Linked DNA regions of Yarrowia lipolytica. The protein of the gene in region 2 purifies or fractionates together with the protein of the main gene of each other region. This does not show direct contact. Links are inferred from orthologs where the notes say so. Each region holds a gene or a part of one and is shown on either strand. Other genes may lie near its edges.

Region 1 (10,199 bases), on a different chromosome or scaffold from region 2:
CATCTACTGTTTCTTTGCCACGTCTAAGGATGTTTCTATTGGTCCTGTTGCGGTCATGTCCCAGCAAGTCGGCCGAGTCATTATGCATGTCCAAGGAGAGTACCCCGAAGCCTCGGGACCCATGATCGCGACCATGCTGGCGGTTCTGTGCGGTTCTATCGCCCTCGGTATCGGTCTCCTGCGTCTTGGTTTCATTCTCGAGTTCATTCCCGCCCCCGCAGTCATGGGCTTTATGACCGGTTCTGCCATCAACATTGTCACTGGTCAGGTTCCCGCTCTCATGGGTATCGACAAGCTCTTCAACACAAAGGACGCCACTTATATGGTAATCATCAACTCGCTTAAGAACCTGAAGCACTCCAACTACAACGCCGCCTTTGGAGTCGTCGCGCTGTTCATCCTCTACCTCATCAAGTACTCATGCCAGTACCTGTCCAAGAAGTTCCCCAAGTACAAGAAGGTGTTTTTCTACATTGAAATCATGAGATCCGCGCTCATCATCATTTTTGGTACACTCATTTCTTGGGCTGTCTGCCACCCTCACAAGAAATCTGGCAAGTTCCCCATTTCTATTATCAAGACTGTGCCTCGAGGTCTCATTCACACCGGTGTCATGAAGGTCGACACTATTTACATGTCCAAGATGGCCTCTGAGCTGCCCGTCTCTACCGTTGTTCTTCTGCTTGAGCACATCGCCATTTCCAAGTCCTTTGGCCGTGTCAACGACTACAAGATTTCTCCCGACCAGGAGCTCATTGCTATTGGTGTTACCAACCTGGTTGGAACCTTCTTCAACGCCTACCCCGCCACCGGTTCCTTCTCTCGATCTGCCCTTAAGGCAAAGTGTGGTGTGCGAACACCTCTTGCCGGTATTTACACTGGTGTTGTTGTGCTCATTGCTCTGTACGCCCTCAACACTGTCTTCTACTGGATCCCCAATGCCGTTCTTTCTGCCATCATCATTCACGCTGTGTTTGACTTGGTGGCACATCCTCGACAGCTCTTCCACTTCTGGAAAATTGCCCCCATCGATGCAGTCATCTTCTTCGTTGCAATTATCCTCACAGTCTTTGTCACCATCGAGGCTGGTATCTATTTTGCTGTCGCTGCATCTCTCGTCTGGCTGCTTCTCAAGGTCGCCTTCCCTGCCGGAGACCTCATGGGCAAGATTGAGATTGTCGACGTCGAAGATCCTCTCATTGTCCAGCAGACTGCCGATGTCGAAGAGATTGCTGCTGCCGAGGCTGCCCGAAACACTAAGCTCGGCAAAGTCAAGGGACTTATCAGCAAGGCTGGAAAGCTCATTGAGGACGGTCCTGTTGTTGACGCAGATGTCCAGCATGGTTTGCCTCTTCTGGCTCCTCAGGAGGTGGAGAAGTCGACCACTGCAGCAGCTCTGTCTCATGTGCCCCGACGAACCGTCTGGGTGCCTCTGTCTCGAAAGAACGTCAACCCAGACATCAAGATCTCGCCCCCCCGACCTGGAGTCATCGTCTACCGATTCACGGAAGCATTCACCTACCCCAACTGTTCTAGACAGACAGACAAGTTGGTGGATGTCATTCGAGAAAAGACTCGACGAGCCGAGGGAGTGCGATACAAGACTCTTGGAGAGCGGCCCTGGAACGACCATGGTCCTCGACATCCCAAGGAGAGCGAAACTGTCGATCTGCGGCCCATTCTAGAGAAGGTGGTGCTAGATTTCTCTGTCGTCTCTTCCACAGACTCTACTGGTATCCAGAACCTGGTAGATGCTCGAGGAGAGATCAACCGATATGTTGGCCGAGAAGTCGAGTTCCATTTCTCGGGTCTTCTGTCTCCCTGGGTCCGACGTGCTTTGGTGGGCTCTGGATTCGGAGGAGTGCCAAAGGGACAACACCTGAGCAACTACCAGGTGACTGCGGCCCGTAGAGCCACTGCCCTTGACCGACAGACTTTGCCCAATGACACTACCATGGTGATCGAGGGCGATTCTCTGTCCAACGACTCGGATGAAGAGTACGCAAAAAAGAAGCCGTTCGATGAGGAAGAAGCCATTGGAGGTCTGGACACCAAGAGCGTGTCTTCTTCTTCTCAGGACGACAAGGAGTTTGGAGGCTACATCCCCGTGGTGTCCACCGACACTCCTTTTTTCCATTTGGACATTCCTGACTTGTAAGGATTATCATTGGATCATCATGGGAAGACTAACTATTTATTGCATTAATCAAAAGTATTGGTATAGACTGAGTCACATTGTAAAAGAATGAGTTTTGGGGAGTAGAGAGGATGGATATGTAAACCGAACCAAAAAAACGACAATAGGAATATACCCGGATTTTTGCTATGAACGGGCTTGAAGTTATGAAGAGCGATATAGATGATTTATGAATTGTTTTTGATTGTTTTGATTTTGGGGAACACATTTTCGTTAAATTCAAAATTAGAGACGAAATTCGAAAAAAATCTACACATGTGTGTTTGACAATTTTAAGATGTCATATTATTCCAATGATGAAGAAAAAGTCAACTAATAAATGATGATCTGAATACATCTTGTAACTTTTATGTCTGTTCTGGTGTTTTTTTTTTTTTATTATTTTTTTAAAATTTCATTTTTAATCTCTGATGGCATTTGTTTGCCTACAAGTAGTGACAACATACTGCAAGAGTATCGTACATCGGTTCATCTTCTTAGCCCCGCAAAATAAGCTCTGTTGAGTCAGCAAAGAGCAATTATCTCAAATGGATCGGAGTGGTTCCAGTAGAGTCCGTACAAGTACAACTCAGTGCCATCTTCAGATACACACTTCGAAATCTTTAATGACGGCTTCTCATTGATACAGCCCCGAAGATGACTCATCACCTGGCTTACTAACTCCCGGAAAATACTGTCATGTGGAGTTAAAACCAGGCAGTGAGAAGGCAAAATTTACACTTATCGAAGCGTCACAAGGACATGGAGTTGAGATATATGACTCTCCGACGGTTGAAGTTTTGCATATTAAAAATATTCCTCTGATAGGAATTTCACTTTGGAAGACCCTGGGAAAATTCTGAGTCGTTTACAATTATCCTCGATTTAATAGGAAATGATACAGTTTTTTTGTTTAACTTCTTTTATCGTCCAACATTGCATATGCATCTTGTTACATTCCAAACAAAAGTGTATTACCAGTTGTGGAGAGCGGTTGTACAGGACCTTCCTTTTCACAGGAAACCCCTCTAAAATCGGCTACAAATTGCACACAAACCACCATGCTGCCGCCCGAGTTGGTGAACATCCTGCTGGAGCATCTGGATCTCTATTCGCTTGTTTCTCTGGCTCAAACGTGCCAGTCTTGGAACTCTGCCATCACAGAAGCCGAGTATCGGTACATGCTGCTCAAGAGCTGTCCCTTCTACCAGCTTGACAACTCGAACAGACTTAGCTGGAGAGATTGTGCAACGGAGTACCTGCGCCGAAACCGACTCAACAGTCCCAAGGTGGATAGCTCTATCATTCAACAACTATGTCCAAACACAACCATCGCAGTCAGACAAGATGAACTGCTGCCGCCACATTATTACTCTTTGTGTAAAATGCAAGCTGCGACTCGGGATGGGTGGCATGATGATGTGGCCCTACGACATACCGACAGCGGGTTCAGCTTCCAGGGCGCCTTCGTGTCACTAAAGGGAAGTGAGGGGGTTACCAACGAAGATTACCACTACGACAACGGAACTATATCCAGCAGATTTGGTATCAAAATGGGATTCCAGAGAGGACAAAGACAGCATGCCATTCTGGCAATCAAAACCAACACTAAATGCATCGCTGCCATCGTTTGCTATGAGCCAAGCGAATACCGCATTTTGGTTAAGTACATTGACAGCCATGGCATTGCGCCAAATATTGATTTTGGAGAGAACACTGACGATTGGCTTTACTCTGTCGGCTTCTGTCCTTCAACCCTCACTTCTTTCGACCTGTTTCTGGTCGAGTCTTGCATCTTTGTGTATGTCCAGCAACAAGGACATACCGGAGCTCTTCTGGCTCTGAACAATGGAGTGATGGAACGGGTGCTATTCAATGACAAGTACATGCTCACGTCAACACCTGAGATGTTGTGTGTGTTTGATGGCAAAATTGCCATGGCTGGAAAACATGTCATGCCTGAATTCATGCGGTACTTGTTCAACAGGACACCCGTGCACGCTACAAATATCAGCCAGGATCCCGTCTACAGTAACTATGTTGGCCTATACAATGCGGCTGGAAGTATGACCCATTTAATTGACTTTGCCACTCAGAGTATTGTTGATATCACTGCGTTCTACTACACGTCTCTTCAGGCTGGCTTCCTGGCACTTCCTGGATTAGTAGATGGGCAGCTGGTTGTATACAGATACTCACAGCAGTTTCTGCTGACGCATTTTGGTGAGCAAGTTGACGTTCAGGTCATGATGACTAAGATTAATTGTCTGGTTGATGCCCCCGAGTCGATGCTGTTGCCCCATGTACCTCAGACGAGGGTTCCAGCTAGGTCCAGAGCCGTTAATAGGCACAAGACGCGCCGAAGAGTGGTGGTATAAAGAGGAGGAGGCTTATTTATATATATTTATTGTCCCGAGTAATGAGATATGATTTATGAGTTCGGTGGTGGTTGAAAGGGCTTTCAAGATGAAACTGTAGATGAGGGGGGTGATAACTGGTGCTGTTCTTACTAGGCTGATCTAGTTAACTACCTGTACACCTCCTGTACACACAACTGTGGAGAGTTCTTACCGCTGACTATGTTGCCATGCTACAGAATGCACCGTGTGTACTGCAGTACTTGCAACTTCTACAGATGTATAATACTCGTAGCCTCAAATACTTCATAATGTATTATACAATGCGTTGATGCAATATATCCTCCGTCTTCTACTTTCTGACAATTCCCTTCATGCGTTTCTTCATCTTGACAACAGGCTTGGATACCTTCTTCACCGAGGCATCCACCTTTGCCACCTCCACTCTCTTGATCTTCTCACCTTGCGCGTTCCTAAACACCTCCTTAGCCATCTCATCATCACGCAAATCCTGTTCAGATACGCCACTTTCCTTGTCATCTCTCTTTCTCAGCTCTTCCAGCACATCCACATCTCGTCCAATCTTGTTAAGACGAGCAGTACGTTCCTTGAGCTCTTCGAGCCGTTCAATTCCCTCCTGCTCATCAATGTTGGCCTTCTGCCTTGCCTCTATCTCTGCCATGACGTCTCCATCTGTAGAAACTGCGGTTCCTAGCTTTGACGGATCAGGCATAGCCTTTCCCTGTTTCTTGAGCTCCTCCAGCTCCTTCTCTTCCTTTTCCAGCCGGTCCAGCCGCTCGTCCAGAGTCTCCTCCACCTTCTTTTCGTCTCTCCAGGGTTCGTAGTTTCGTACAGCTCCATACTCGGTCTGATAGTCTGAGTTCTTGGGGTCAGTCTTGAATCTGATCTCACCTGAACATCTAGGACATCGGATAAAGAAGCGAATGATCTTCACGTCAAGATACACCTCGTCAGTCACCTGTTTGCGAGCGTTGAACTTTTTGCTCTTATAAATATATTCTCCACAGGCGGTACATCGCATGGAGAAAGGCACCATGAGCCGTACAGTGGGCATGGTGGCCGATTTGGAGTCAGACACTTTCTTAGCACGCCGCTCCAGCTTGCTGGGATCAAAGTCGGGCGGATAGTATTTGTTTATTCCTTTTCGATCCGACATTTTGTGCTGATGATGATGTGATGAAGGGTAAAAGAGCCTGCTGATTTTCTGTACGAGTATGTACAGAAACTTTATCAGAAACCTGTCAAGGAGAGAGTACGATCCGATGTGCGTCTCAAGGGGGTGTGTCGGAGAGACCGCGGAGGTGTGTAACTTGAGCTGAGGGTATCAACAATGAAAAAAAACTTAGCTGGAAACTCTTTTGAGCTGATCCGTGTAGTATTGAGTGACTACAAGTAGAAAGGTGATGTTGAATCTCACCCTCATATACTTAACTGGTTGTCCCACTTACTACTTGACCTCACTAAGTTATTCATATTTTTACTTCATTTACAGTAGTCTTCGTAGCTCTCCCAAATGATAGCTAAGTACAGCAGCACAACCCGGCCACTAAAACGAGAGTCCGAGAACATCCCAATTTGGCGTCACGTGATCTTTCCCTACACCATGTATAGAGCGGATCGCGGAACTCAAAAAGCGGTTCCTTGGCGTGACAAACATGGCACCGCCGCTATTGTGCGAGTAATGGAGTGTACTGTATGTACCAGTATCGTACACTTCTATAGGCGGTTGTCTTGGCTAACACGTGTGACGCTAGAACTAATTGGAATGGGGATTGCGACGTGTTTACGATGTGGTTTTGGCGTGTATTATGGGCTTACAAGACAAGGCACTTTTTCGCGAGGCTCATTTATGCCGGGTTGAGTGTTTTGAAATTGATCGTATTTTCCTCGATTTTCTCTTGAATTTCCGCCACCTCCACCTCTCTGAGATACAGTAGGGTGGTACAGATGCTCACATACGCTTAATTGAGTTGTCGCTAATATAGCTTAAAGAGGGATAGTTTTCTGAGAATATTTCCAATAAATCGAATAAAAACGCTAGCGGAAAATCAAGACAATGGAAGGGTTGGATTCTTTTCTCTCTACAATTTCAAAATCAATAATTTTCCTGCCAAGATACAGGAGCCGCAATTTCAGCACTCGTACAAACGTCCGCATAGATTTACCTATTTGGTAACCTTTTTTTTTTTCTCTTGGGGGAGGGGGACGACAGAAAAACGTACACCGCCCCATGTGGTCAGCCCCTATTATACACCCGGTTACAGGTTTTACAGTGGCAGCTTTTTTTTTTAACGTGCTGGCCGTTACTACCGGGTGATGATGCGTACTAGTAATGTTCTTTTGCTGCCGTACAGGCTGGGCGACTGCTTGCGTCGCGGGTCTCGCTTATTAATCGACACGTGCAAGAGCTGATGCCCTGTCTCTCGCACATGGCTTAATCAGTCCTCTCTCCCCCACCAATATAGGCCCTTCAAATGCCTCAGTGTGCACTTGCTTTGGAAACGCAAAGGTGCTAAATTCAAAAAGAAGGTTGTTCTTGGAGGATTTGCGCAGCGTCAGAAGAGATGGCCTCTTGTTTGAGAGCCACCAGCAGCCGCGAAACCATCATTTATGCAGCTGGCACAGATACGAACATGATCAAAATGTAAGAGGTACGGCTGAGGGGAGTGGTGCCAAAAGTACAGGTTAGCTGGTTAGCAGCTATTGTACGTATGGGTCTTTTAGACTACTTCAGCCGTGTATGAGGGCACTAGAAGGAGAAGGAGAGAAGCATTAGTTTGGGCGGCATGAGTGGCCCCTTCACACATTAGCGACAATAGATGGATACCATATACGACGAGTGCAAGTACTACTCTTACTACCATAGTCTCGTCGACCAATCTGGGGGGTTGGAAGTCTATTGCTTATGTGCATTCAGAACAACAAGGAGCTTGTGTGTGAATCGGATGCCTCTTGTCTGGAGTGTGTCGTCGCTGTCAAAGCAACATGTGGGACGTGCCAAGGAGTAATTACGACTTGAAAGGGGTCGATAAAAGGAATGGAAAGGGAGTTATTTTTTCACCAAGCGAGGTCTTGGTTTTAGCGACCCGTGAAGTTGGTCCACTAGCAGGCTCTGGTGGTGTACCTCATCCAGAGTCTGTTTGGTGACCACCTCCCCCATTCAAGGTTCAAGAGTTGCACGAAAAAAAGCTTTGGCCAAGCTCTTCAGTATTAATAGCTGCATATACCCAGCACCCAGATTGGTGGAACCGACTTTTGACCTGACCTGTTCAACATCAGCCCGAAAAAAGTAACATCGAAAAAAAACAAAAAACAGAGACGGTATAAATCTCGACCTCTTCAACCCCCTCATAACCCACTACTCTCTCCTGGGGTTGTCTCAGGCCATTCTGTGTTCCCACAGGTTCACTTTTTGCTCTCTTCTCTCTCGACACACTCCACAAGACATGTTCATAGTGGACTACGCTAAACGAGCGTACCGCAAGCTGCGACACTTTCGCATCACCTTCATCGTCGTGCACTACTTCATCATCATTGGCTCGGCCATTTTCGGCACTTTTCTATTCTACCCCGCCAAAACTACAAAATACATCGATGCCCTGTTTCAGTGTGCCTGCGCTGCGACACAGGCAGGCCTCAACACCGTCGATCTCAACTCGCTCAAGCTGTGGCAGCAGATGGTGCTCTACTGCATTTCCATGTGGACGAATCCGATTGTGATTCACTCAGGAGTCGTGTTTATGCGTCTGCACTGGTTCGAGAAATCGTTCAAGGACATCAAGAACCAGTCCAAACTGCAGTCAAAGCTGCGAAGAACAGCCACGACGTTAGCTCGACAAGACACACTCGAGAACGGACTGTTTCAACGCCCTCCTCTGCGACACCAGAACCCAGGAGTGGCCGGCCTGAACAGCAACATCAACAACGACAGTAGCGACGAAACGCCTCACAAGGAAGGTCACAACAACGACAACCCCAACCTCAACAAGGAAATCACATTCGGAAATCTACCGCAGCCAAAACGAACGCACTCCGTTGAGCCTGAAGATATGTACCGGTCCATCAACTTGCTGTCCCATGAACACCCTGAAGGACAGAGTGATAGTGATGACGACGGACCTGCTCTGGTCATCAGAGGCCCTCGTGACCGCCCTGACCGAGACGACGACGAAGAGGACTCACCTGAGATCGAGAGAGCTCCACGAGCAATTTCGTTCTCGACTCAGGAACACCCACGTGCTCAGAAGTCTGCTCTGGAACAGTTCAAGGAGGAAATGCGTGAGTCACAACGACAACTGGACGCTGAGCATGCTATTGATGAGGGTGAGTCGTCAGACGCTACCCAGCCCACCTCCATCAAGCGAGAAGACATGTATTACCGACAGCATCCGGATTCCGACTCTTCAGAAGGAGATACGGTGAAAAAGGTGCGTTCCAACGTGACCGTTCACAGACCGTCTCCTGAAGATGACGACTTTGCCGGCACCCAACCCATGAACCGACGTGCATTTACCCTTGACGGCGACAACACTGAAGAGAAGAACCATGAAGGAGCCTTTGCACACTTTAAACGGTCTCTTACATTTGATCGGTTTCTTTCTAATCGACGACGCGGCTCAGACGCCGCTTCTTCCAGTGGTGCCACCTCCAACGCCGATCTCAACAAGACCATGTCGTCCAACTACCTGTCTTGGAGTCCCACAGTTGGTCGTAACTCTGCATTTGTTGATCTGACAGAGGAGCAAAAGGAGGAGCTGGGAGGAATCGAGTATCGGGCTCTCAAGGTACTGTCCAAGGTGCTGGTTGCCTACTTCGTCGGCTTCCATCTCATGTGCGCCATCATGCTGCTGCCCTGGGCCATCTACATGCCCAAGTACAGAGACTACGTGTACTCGTGTGGAGTGACGCCGACGTGGTGGGCATTTTTCACCGCTCAGTCGACCTTCAACGATGTGGGTTTCACTCTAACCCCGGACTCCATGGGATCTTATCAGGAAGCCATTTATGTTCTGTTGACCATGTCCTTCTTCATTGTCATCGGTAACACGGGCTTCCCTGTTCTACTTCGGTTCATCATCTGGATCATGTTCAAGCTCTCACCTCGAGACTCCTCACTCAAGGAGTGTACCGGTTTCCTGCTTGATCATCCTCGACGATGTTTCACCATGCTGTTCCCTTCCACTGCCACCTGGTGGTTGTTTGCAACACTGGTGATTCTGAACTCTGTCGACCTCGTCTTCTTCATCATTCTGGACTTCAACGCACCTGCAGTCACCGAGATGAGGCCCGGTTACAGGGTTGTATCAGGCTTGTTCCAGGCCTTCTCTACTCGAACAGCCGGTTTCACCTCTGTCTCTATTGCCGAACTCCATCCGTCCATCCAGGTATCGTACATGATCATGATGTACATTGCCATTCTGCCCATTGCCATCTCGATTCGACGAACTAACGTTTACGAGGAACAGTCTCTGGGTATTTATGGAGGGGGAGACGAAGAGAGTGAGTACGACCAGGCCCCTACGGCTGATGAGGAGGCAGAGAACGAGGAGAACGACCCCGAGCATCTCTACAAGGGCAAGAAGAAGAAGCATCCGTCGTATGTCACAGCCCACCTGCGTGCCCAGCTTGGTTACGATTTGTGGTAC
Region 2 (10,622 bases):
TTGATGTGATCGTGTGTGTCCTGTTTTGAGATCTTTGCGGCATCGGGGGATTGAAGGTGGGGGTAGCAACGTGTTTGAGTTGTTTTTTTTTTTCTTTTTTTTTTTCCATAATTCCAATTAATCTTGAGACGTCAGCGTGTATATTTAGCCGTGCAGCAGACCTCACGAGTACGTCATGTGTACCAGCCATCGTAATAATGCTCCTAGAGTAGAAAACAACTTCGGCGCTCATTCCTCTCCGCGCTTCCGCCTCATAGCCACGACCACCATGTCGCGATAATTACTAAGCCGAACTTACATAGTAGAGTCTAGAATTTTCGAATTTTCGAAATATTCTCCCGGTGGCCAAGCTGGTTTAAGGCGCGAGACTGTAATGGTATTAAAAATTTGTAATCTTGAGATCGGGCGTTCGACTCGCCCCCGGGAGAGGATATTGTTTTGTCACAGCTTTTTTGTTTCTTTATTCTTATGTAAGATCGTGGTGCAAAAAGATTAGGAGAGTTGAGCTGTAGGGGAATTGAACCCCTGGCACCTGCTAACAATCGAATGGAAGGCAGATATGTTACCACTACACCAACAGCCCAGAATTAATTTAAATATTGTTAGAACCCAGGGCCTCAGGACTTGGGCTCCCAACCAGTACTTACTGGAGAAGCTCGGTAGTTAGTAGTCGAAGTGTCAGAACAATTGTTGGTGCATTATAATATAGGAAATAGGGCAAGTTATATAATCTCAGGATCGGCGTCCGCAACTTCCGGAACTCCTCCAGTTCCGGACGGGCAGTGCTCTCCAAGCGGCGTAGTGCGTAGGTTATCCGCTAGATCATATTGGACCAATATTGGACCAATATCCACTAACCTTTGTTAAACGGTCAAGTACAAAGGCAGACAACCATGGACAAGTAGAACAGAGAGTTCAGACTATTGGACACTCACAAGGAAACAACAGTCACACAAGAGCACGAATAGCCGCGGTGACGGATCGAGTATCACTAACCTCCAGTATCAGGTTTAGCCGCGGCCGATTAGCCGCCGAACCCTAACAAATATGTAACGACTCAGAAGCTAGTCATAAGGTGTTACGATTAGTCATGCCATTAGCATAAAAAAACCTTAGCAGTAATGAATCATTAGTAAAAAAATGCCTTGGCAAGTGACTGGACGATGATGACGTTCTACGGACGTCATGAGTGTGTCATTATGGATGAATATTTCGGTATCGCTTGGCTAGGTCGCGTGGATGACGTGCTTTACAGAGTTAGGGTTGAGATACCTGTATATATAGCCACTACTCGCAAGTATGTAAGTAAGTTATGTTTATACAACTTCTGGAGCTCGTACCTAGGGCGTTGAGGATTGACCCATCATCGATCCGTTACAGAATGAGAAGAGAAACGATCTTTACTAAGATCCTGACTGCTTAGTCATCCTTTGAATCATTAGAATAAAAAGAGACGATTGAAAGCCACTAACCCGGGTTACTACAAGTAGGTATATATAGCTGTAATTTATCATTAGAATTAAAAAAAAAAAAAACTAAAAAATGGATCCGTTGAATAAATATGATTGTCCTTCCTTAGGAAATGTATTTCCCTATATATATCGGACATTCCCACCCACACTGACTCTGTGTTGCCCTATAATTTTCACCCCATTTTTTACCACCCCCTTTCTTCATTTTTTCCCCCATCTACTTCCCCCAACCACCCCGCTTTTGGTCCTCCCCGAAGGCTCATACCCATCGATTATGACACCCCAAGGACTATTCGCCCGTGACTCACCAGCACCTGTCTTATGAGGTCCACACTGCCTCCCTGACTCTTGGACTTCACATTTAGTACCGGACACATGCCACCGCCCTCCCCCCCAAGCTAACACTTTACCACGCCTGCCTCACATTACCAGTTACACGTCTTTCTGCATACCCCGTCGTACGTCTACATGTCTACATCACTACAACGTCTTCACCCACCAAATGGTCATCCGACACCGTCTTCACGTCCACCACGACTTTATTTTCACCGGTCTTTCCCGTACCCTGACTACTCGTAGCTCTGATAACCAGTCGCACTGACCATTTACCCCATACCCCCGAACAAGTCACCCGGGCCCTCGTCGAAAAGATCAAGCGTCATACAGACCATGCAATCAATTATGTTATAAAAAAGGCTTATTAAGGTCAGAAGTCGAGTTAAACCGTACTGTAGGGCACAGGCAGTGCCTTGCTTTTATTGCAAGAATCAAGCTCTGTGGTAGTGTAGATACTACTGTAGTAATTGGAGTCAGCCAAAGATGTCAGAATCCCCTCGATTGAATCAAACCATCTTAAAAGGAGGAGTGCGCTCAAATTTCAACACTTTATCCATTGAGCGTGCTTCTAGCACCAGTGCTAAAGCTTTGGGAAACGTTGATCTTCCCACGTTGTTTATCAGTGAGCTTGTATCGAGTAGGGTCAGTTGTGTTCCATCGTAGAATGACGGTACATACTGTAGTCAGTTCTCTGTAGATATTTGTGCCGTAAGGTTAAGGGCACTACAACTATGTATTCTACAGCACTCAAACTATAGATTGCAACTACTTGTATATACCCTTAGCTAGGTCCCATAGAAGTACATACGTGATCAGGCGTAAGTGGTGCACCATTAAGCGAGACTATATACCACACACCCTTGTGATGAAGATATGGAAATGGAAAGAAGTTACAATAAATTAAATTGCCTCCCGTTTACGTTTACTTTTTTATATTCCAGGGAAATACATTTTAGGTACAGTATGTACTTGTATCTTGTATCTCTTACGGTACATATGACTGTAGTTAAAGATTATAAACAATGATAAATCCGCAAATCTGATGACTAGGTTTCAGGTTTCCAGACGAGCATAGGGCAATACTTCTTGCGGTATTTCTCTGGTTCAGTTGTTTTTGTTTTTGTTTTTGTTTTTGTTTTTGTTTTTGTTTTTGTTTTTGTTTTTGTTTTTGTTTTTTGTTTTTGTTTTTTGTTTTTGTTTTTGTTTTTTTTTTTGTTTTGGTTTTTTTTTTTAATTTTTTTTATTCTAATTGATTCTGATTATATAAGCCAAATGCTACCAATACTGTTCCTACAATATAGCTCACAAAAAAAAACTCTGAGGACGTGGCGTAATGGTAGCGCATTGGATTTCGGTTCTTCAGAACGACGTCCTCCAAAGGCTGCGGGTTCGAGTCCTGTCGTCCTCTCTTTTTTGTCCCCCTGCCCCACTGGGTTCCATTTTGTGTCTTTATTGCCTTCTCATCCATTGTGATGGTTAGTTACAGTATGTACACGGTATACTGCAAATACCGTTACTCTTTGTTTCGTGGCTACCCGGTTCCATACGGTAACGTCTTTTAAGTAGGCTATCCTTTATAATACATTAAATACACACAAGCAATGCACTCAGCATTACTCTTCTACCTTGGCCTTGGTCTTCTTTTTCTTCTTAAGAGCCTTGAGAGCACTAAGAGAGCTCTTGTTGAACATGCCTGTATCAGTGGATACGGGAGCAGCAGGCTCAGGGGCAGGTTCAATCTGCTTGACCTCTTCAGCAGGCTCAGCTCCAGCCTCCTTCTGATTGTTCATGATTCTCTTCAGTTTCTCGCTGTCATCTTCTTCGTAACCCTCCAGCAATGGCTTGCTCTTCTTAGCTCGACCTTCGAGCTCATCCACGTACTCCTGAGGCAACAGCCGCTTAATAGCCTCGGCGGCATTCTCTTCCAGTCGTCGCTGTTCACGTGCCTGAGCCAAAGGATCGGGATCCTGTGTCGCCCATCGTACGTTAAGAACCTCTCCACTATCCAGACTCTGGTGAGCCATGGCCTCCTTAGCAAACTGCGCATTCACTTCTGTGGCGTATGTCACAAATGCAACGCCCTTGTCATGCAAAACTCGAATGCGGTCAACGTCTCCCCATTCAGAAAAGTGTCTCGAGACAATCTCATCCAGAGCACCTGCTTTGGCAGCATCACTCACATGGATACGACCTACATATAGAGTTCGGTTGACTCTACTGATCGAACCAATACCCCCCATATCATCTCTGTAGTCAAAGAACCGGTCCCGACCAAAACAATCAGTCGTAGGACTAAACATGTCGGTCAACACAGGAAGACGATGCAGAAACTCACACTTGTGCCCTTGAGTACACAGACCCCGGGCAAAATACAGGCAAAAGTAGGATCCCGGTACCTTGTCTGCCCGGGTGTATCCTGAGTCACGGGCTATGCTACATCGTCCATCTGCTTTCTTCTGGTTGAACTTTTCATCCTCCTTGTCTCCTCCACTCCACTTGTTGAACCAGATATTATAGACGGTTCCTGTCTGTGGAGGTCTGTCATCAGTGTTGACCGAGTCGGGGTCCACCTGGATCCGTGCTTTCCGAGTATGGTATAATGCAGGATCTTTGGTTCTCTTCTTCTTAGATTTCGTTTTGACCACCTGAGCTTCTGTGGGTGCTTCTGTTTGTACTACCTCGACACCTTGGTTCTGTACGCTTTCTGCGACGTCTGGTGTAACCACTGGCGAGGTTTCGATAGATTCCGGAGCCTCAGACATGGTGGGTATTTGTTGTGGCGGGCGGGCGGTAGTGGTGCAAGTGGTGATGATTGCCGGAGGAGCATATTTAGAAGTGTAATATATTCTGAGGCTATTTTGCTTTGAGTTTGTTGTGGAAGCGTACCATTTTACTTGATGGAAAAATTAGTGAGAACCGCGGTGATCGGTGGAGGAGTCATGAAGTCAAGTGGATCCTAGCAAGAGTTGTTTTCCAGCCGAAATTTACAGGTAACAGCAGTTATAAACATCTATGGTCGCCTCTTGTACAGTTATCCATATTTGTCCCATTATCCAGCACACGATTCCAGACGCATCAATTAGTTTGGACTTAAACACATCCCAATATGCACACCTTGGATGAACATCGCCACCATCGCGTCTAACTTCTCATCACATCTCACCCAAACATAACACCATGAAAGAAGACCAGCCGATAGGTTCGGGATATCTGTCCCGCGACGTCAGTGTGATCAGCGAGCTGGTACGCACACTGTCTACGCGTCTTACTAACCAGCATGAGTCGTCGGAAAAGCTCGAGGAAACTGCAGCTTCAATTCTCGAGATTGAAGAGAAGCAGCTGCAGGAACTGCTGGTGGAGCTGGGACGTGATGAGTCGGAGTTTAAAAGCGAGAGCGACGAGCCGGATACCACACTGCCCATGTCGGTGCTAATAGCCCGAGAAAACGTGGAGCTCGAACAACAATTACAACGCCTCCAGTTTGTTGGGGGCAAGTCACAAGAGCTGCTCAAGCAGTATATGCGGGCAATGGAGGAGATTGTGGGAGACTCGCAGATCTATGCCGCCGACATGGACCATGCTGCAAGCCAGATTAAAAAGTCATACAAGGAGCATGAGTGCCAGGCTGAATCACGAAAACAAGAATTGCTGGAGGAGAGCAAAGAGCTGAAACAGAAACTTCTACAGGTGAGGAAGCTAGTGAGTAAAGCACAGATAGGCTTCCATGAAGACGACTGATACTAACAGTGTGTGCACACTTTTGCATGGGGGTACCAATTGTCAGAATATATGGAAGAACAGCGACTTGGGACGCGTTTGGTGAGATGGAAGCATGTATTGCATTAATGTACTTACGGAAGACAGAAGTTCGGGAGCCCTAACGACATACACGTCGTGTTTGTTTATTTGTAGCATACATGGAGCTACCAAAACCTATTATACTGTATGTCGAGATAGAGCGTCTCATCCTTCATGACGGATGACGGAAGCTAGACACATACTAGACACTGGACAATAAAGACAAATAAGATGGTCATGTAGTCACTAAGATCATGCTTTGGAGTAGTCCCCACACGGCTAATTGAAGAATTAAGTCATTCCTGAGGGAACAACAGATGGGGTTTTTCAAAGATTTCGATCTCAAATTGTCATATGTGACCTCCGAAATTAAAACCCGGGTTTCTTGGTCTAGTTGGTCATGGCATCTGCTTAACACGCAGAACGTCGGCAGTTCGATCCTGCCAGAAATCATTTTTGCAACTCCAATGAGCTAGGAGTTTCTGCTCTCAGGCATTTTGCAATGTGCTGTGTTGCGTGGTGAGTCTTACACCGACACTTTTTGCAAAAATTTAGAATATTGAAAGGAGATTAAACCAGCAGAGATTTATTGCTGATGTATGTGTATGTATGTGTATGTAATATGCTTTGAGGACATTGAGAATATTCCCGACTACTTTCATCCCCGTTATATCTACAGGACCGTACACTAGAAATAACAACTTCAATCTACTAAAATGCTACTCAGCCAATATCTCAGATTATTCGTTTGTTACGCTAAAGATGGGTTTCATTCATTCGTTCACACTTTAAATGTGCCCTATTTCTTCACCTCAAGCAAGCTATACACATCATTTCGTCTCTGGTCCCACAGAGGCATATTGGTCCTGACCTTCTTCAGCTGCTCTAGGTTGATATCGGCAACAATAACTGCAGCCGAAGAGTCTATGTCGCTGGCCTCGGCAAGAACAGTTCCCCAGGGGTCAATTATCATGGCGTGTCCGTAGCTTTCTCGCTTGCCGTCCTCTGTGTGTTTTCCAACCAGCGCTGGCATCATGACATAGCATTGGGTATCGATAGCACGAGCTCGGGCAAGAACGTGCCAGTGGGCGGCGCCAGTTCTGACTGTAAACGCCGAGGGAAATTGCAGAATCTGGGCGCCTTGCTTTCTCAACAACAATGCCAGCTCAGGAAACCGGATATCATAACAAATAGCAGGTCCAACTGTTCCCACTGGGGTCTCGAACGGCTTGGGAAGTTCAGACCCGGGCTCTACTGACTTTGATTCCTGCAGAATAGGACCGTTGGGCACCTCCACGTCGAAGAGATGCACTTTTTGGTATCTGTTGACAATGTCTCCGTTGGAATCAAGCCACAATAGGGTGTTTCTGACCCGGTCAGAAGAAGAGGACAGCTCATGAACTCCTACTGAGACCTCAATTCCAGACATTCCGCTCTGTTTGATTTCCTTTTGAGCCTCCCTGATTGCTGCGATCATGGGCGAATTTTCAGCATTTCGTGCAAGACTCAACCCTTCCTTAGGCGAGCCAGAAATGTAGTCGGAGGCTTCAGGGAGGAACAGAGCCTGGGCGCCCAGGGCTGCTGCTCTATGGACTAGTCCTGCAACAATAGAGGCATTGTGAGTAAGTGAATTGGTTGCACAAAATTGGCCGACTGCTGCGAGAGTCATGACGGGATGGTGGAATGGGGAAGTGAGTGGTTCGAGAAGGAAGAAAGATAAAGTATGATAAGAGAAGATGCATATTGGGACTGGTCTTGATTTGTGATGTTACTGTAGCCAACAGTACAAGTGTGTAGGCAAGGGTCGGAATGCGCCATTCACTTCAGAGGATATCCATTCTAGTCAAATATTGATGTTCCAGATATATTCCGTCTCTGAAGTTGGAGCAGTTTCATTACAGTCCCTCCAACTCTACCAATTCTGTAGTGTGGCTTGGTGTAAGGCCGAATTGCAGTTTTCTTTTTTTTTTTAGTGAAACTGGATTGAATAAAAGATGATTATGGTATGTACTGTACTCTGATGTTAGATACCCTTTTGGTTCTGTGGAACTCATACCCCAATTCGATTATTTGGGGGGGGGCTGTTCTGTGGAAATTCATATTCTGAACACTAATTTTCACGTCTTTTGAATCGCACAATTAGTCAGCCCAATGTAGGTCTACTTGCAATGCTCTAAACGAAGGGCCAAAGTCTAATTCCACCTTTGAAAAGTCCAAGTTCAATCTCACTGCCGCCATTCAGCCACTTGGACCTCCAGTTACCATGCGCTGGAACCTTCCACTCCCGAAGTGAGGCTTTATCGGGTCTACAACAACACAACACTGAAAAGACAGACTTGTGGGCTGCAGGTTAACTATAATGTTCGGACTTGACGAGGAGGAGCTAAACACGACCGTGGAGAAGGATGTTGAAGTGGTATCTACAAGGCATTTTAATCAATATATGAATACTGATAACAATTTTTGACGTGAATACCTCTTTTATTGCCCTCAAATAAGTCTTTTCAGCCAGAAATCACGTTCGACCCAATGCCCGGAGTGCATGAATGATCAACTTTATTCCCGAACATCTAACATTCTTCTTCAGCTACACTCTCCAACCACACAACAATGGATGAAGACGTTCTCGACACTCCCCGAGATGGAATCTACATTCCCTCGGCTCTGCTGATAATGGGAATGGGCATTCTGGCCTACTACTTGGAAAATCCTCTGATTTTCGTCGGAGGAATCTTCATCACTCTGGGCCTGGCTGGTCTCAAGCTCTACCGAGGATCGGGCTCGACTCTCTTCCGGGGCCAGAACGATCTCAATGATCTCGAGAAGGAGGATCCCGAGTTCCTCACCGCTCACTCAAAGCTTAAGCTTTACGAAATGGCTGTTTCCGAGAAGGTGCTGATCAACAATGACACCTCTATCTACACCATCGATCTGCCCTCTCCCCGAGACACTTTGGGCATCAAGCCCGGCCAGCAGATTGGTGTTCGAATTGAGTGGGACACCAAGGTTGCTGGAGGAGCCGGGGTTGCCATCAAGCATTTTTACCCGATTCAGATCCGACCTGGATCTTTTGACATTGTCGTTCGGCACAACCGAACCCCTCTTAACCTGCAGTACAAACACAACAACGTGGGAGGCAGTGAGGACATGGTCGGTCGATATCTTGATGGAATGAAGGTCAACCAGCACGTCAAGGTCATTGGCCCCATTGGCAAGCCCTACTACACCCACAACATGGTTAAGGAGCTGCTCATGGTCTGCAGAGACACTGGCATCCAGGCCATGCTGCCCATCATCAACGAGATTATCTACACTCCCGAGGATCTCACTTGGATCAACCTGATCTGGGAGACTGAGACTGCTGATGCCGCTTTTGTCCACGACGATCTGGCTGAGATTGCCCGTGTGTACCCTCGAATCAAGATCCGACATGTTATCACTGGCCCCGGACAAGTCTCTGAAGAGACCCCTGCCTCCACGTACGATGGTCGTCTGGGCTACTCGTTTGGCTCTCCCATCTCTGAGAAGCATGTCAACGAGCTACACGACTCCAAGCTCGAATACGACGAGTCCCTAGTGATCGTTTCTGGAAAGAACCCTGATGATTCCCTTCATCTTTCCACCGAGGCAGGCAAGACCGGCCTTCGAGCTATTGTTGTTTAAAATGTACCACGTAATGATATCATATTTGAAAAAAGAGAGCCTGGATCTACAAGTTATACCTGTATAGTATGGATATTACCATGTCCATTTTAATAAAATTCGTTTGAACAAGAGATGGCCATACATGTAACAAGATAAAAAAATTGAAATTGATTTTTGAAAGGTTGGGGTCGGCTATTGGGGAATTTGAAGTTTCAGTTATAAAAAATTGGTGCCGCACTATCGTCTGGTAATGTTTTAATATTTGTCCCCTGCTGGTTCTTGTGCAATGACAGGTGGCAATTTTGAGAACTACTGTGTGTTACCAGTGCCACCATTGGAGTCCTTGTAGCTATCGCACTGTATCGTACTGCCAACTCTGCTACAGTAATTACTCTGCATAAAACTGCCACTGAATAAGCTCTTCTTCATTGGGAGATATAACCTTATTCTTTCCACTCACTCGTCGCGAAATGACTCAATGAGACTGGATAGATCAAGTGATGGGTCTGTTATGATGATATTTTCCAGGTGTAAAGTCGTTAAGTCTATACAACTGTGAAAAATAAACCACCCCTGGTCTCGGTTCACCCCAAACACAGACCCTAACCTTTACAAAGTGACATTTTCTTAATAAGCAAGCCCCTAACCCTGAAACTTGCGAAAGTGAAAAAAAGTTGCCTGTAGTCAACCATCCACCCCACCCAAAACACACATCAAACAACTATGTCCTGGCTATTCGGAAAGAAGAAAGAGGAACAGCCCAAGGTTGAGGAGGTCAGGGAGGTGACCTTCGACCTGGACCCTAACGCCAACTCCGCCGCCTCTTTCCTCAACGCTGATCTCGACACCACAAAGCTGCATCCCATGGCTGGTCTCGATGCCGGCATGGAGTACTTCACTCTCGAGGGCAATGAGACCATTTACTACGATGGTCTGCTTCCGTCTCGAGGATGGAACGATGACCTGTGTTACGGAACCGGCGTTCTGTACCTCTCTGGTCTCGGTGTCGGAGGTTTCTCGGGTCTAATGGAAGGTCTGCGAACAGTCCAGGAGGGCGCACCAGCCAAAATCAAAATCAACCACGTTCTTAACACAATCACCAAGCGAGGTCCCTTCCTTGGTAACTCCATGGGTGTTCTGGGATTTTTTTACAACATCATCAACTCCAAGATTCTCTACGACATCCGAGGTAAGCACGACTCCTTCAACTCTATTGCTGCTGGAGCCATTGCCGGAGCCATTTTCCGTGCCCCTCGAGGAACCAAACCTATGCTCATTGCTTCTGGTATCACCGCTGCCGGAGCCGGTGTTTGGTGTGTATTTAAGCAGGCTGTTTTCGGTCCTCCTGCTGAGAAGACTCCTCTTGAGTAA

Evidence for each region. Proteins that work in one complex are often made in the same cells at the same time.
Region 1: the proteins of YALI1_F36706g (region 2) and YALI1_B23176g purify together in Saccharomyces cerevisiae (affinity purification with mass spectrometry; 4 studies listed by BioGRID). This does not show direct contact. The link is inferred for Yarrowia lipolytica from reciprocal best matches to the Saccharomyces cerevisiae genes CWC2 and YJU2.

The regions. Positions count from the first base shown.
Region 1 is NC_090771.1:2,313,117-2,323,315, reverse strand, and holds YALI1_B23176g (uncharacterized protein), read right to left. Parts: upstream 5,711-10,199; coding exon 4,886-5,710; downstream 1-4,885. Other genes in the region: YALI1_B23237g (uncharacterized protein), read left to right, coding at 1-2,158; YALI1_B23201g (uncharacterized protein), read left to right, coding at 3,238-4,554; YALI1_B23153g (uncharacterized protein), read left to right, coding at 8,001-10,199. UniProt on the Saccharomyces cerevisiae protein: Part of the spliceosome which catalyzes two sequential transesterification reactions, first the excision of the non-coding intron from pre-mRNA and then the ligation of the coding exons to form the mature mRNA.
Region 2 is NC_090775.1:3,666,074-3,676,695, forward strand, and holds YALI1_F36706g (uncharacterized protein), read right to left. Parts: upstream 4,571-10,622; coding exon 3,422-4,570; downstream 1-3,421. Other genes in the region: YALI1_F36678g (uncharacterized protein), read left to right, coding at 1,747-1,788, 1,838-2,041; YALI1_F36710g (uncharacterized protein), read left to right, coding at 4,986-5,546; YALI1_F36733g (uncharacterized protein), read right to left, coding at 6,406-7,275; YALI1_F36742g (uncharacterized protein), read left to right, coding at 8,217-9,269; YALI1_F36760g (uncharacterized protein), read left to right, coding at 9,975-10,622. UniProt on the Saccharomyces cerevisiae protein: Involved in the first step of pre-mRNA splicing. Required for cell growth and cell cycle control. Plays a role in the levels of the U1, U4, U5 and U6 snRNAs and the maintenance of the U4/U6 snRNA complex.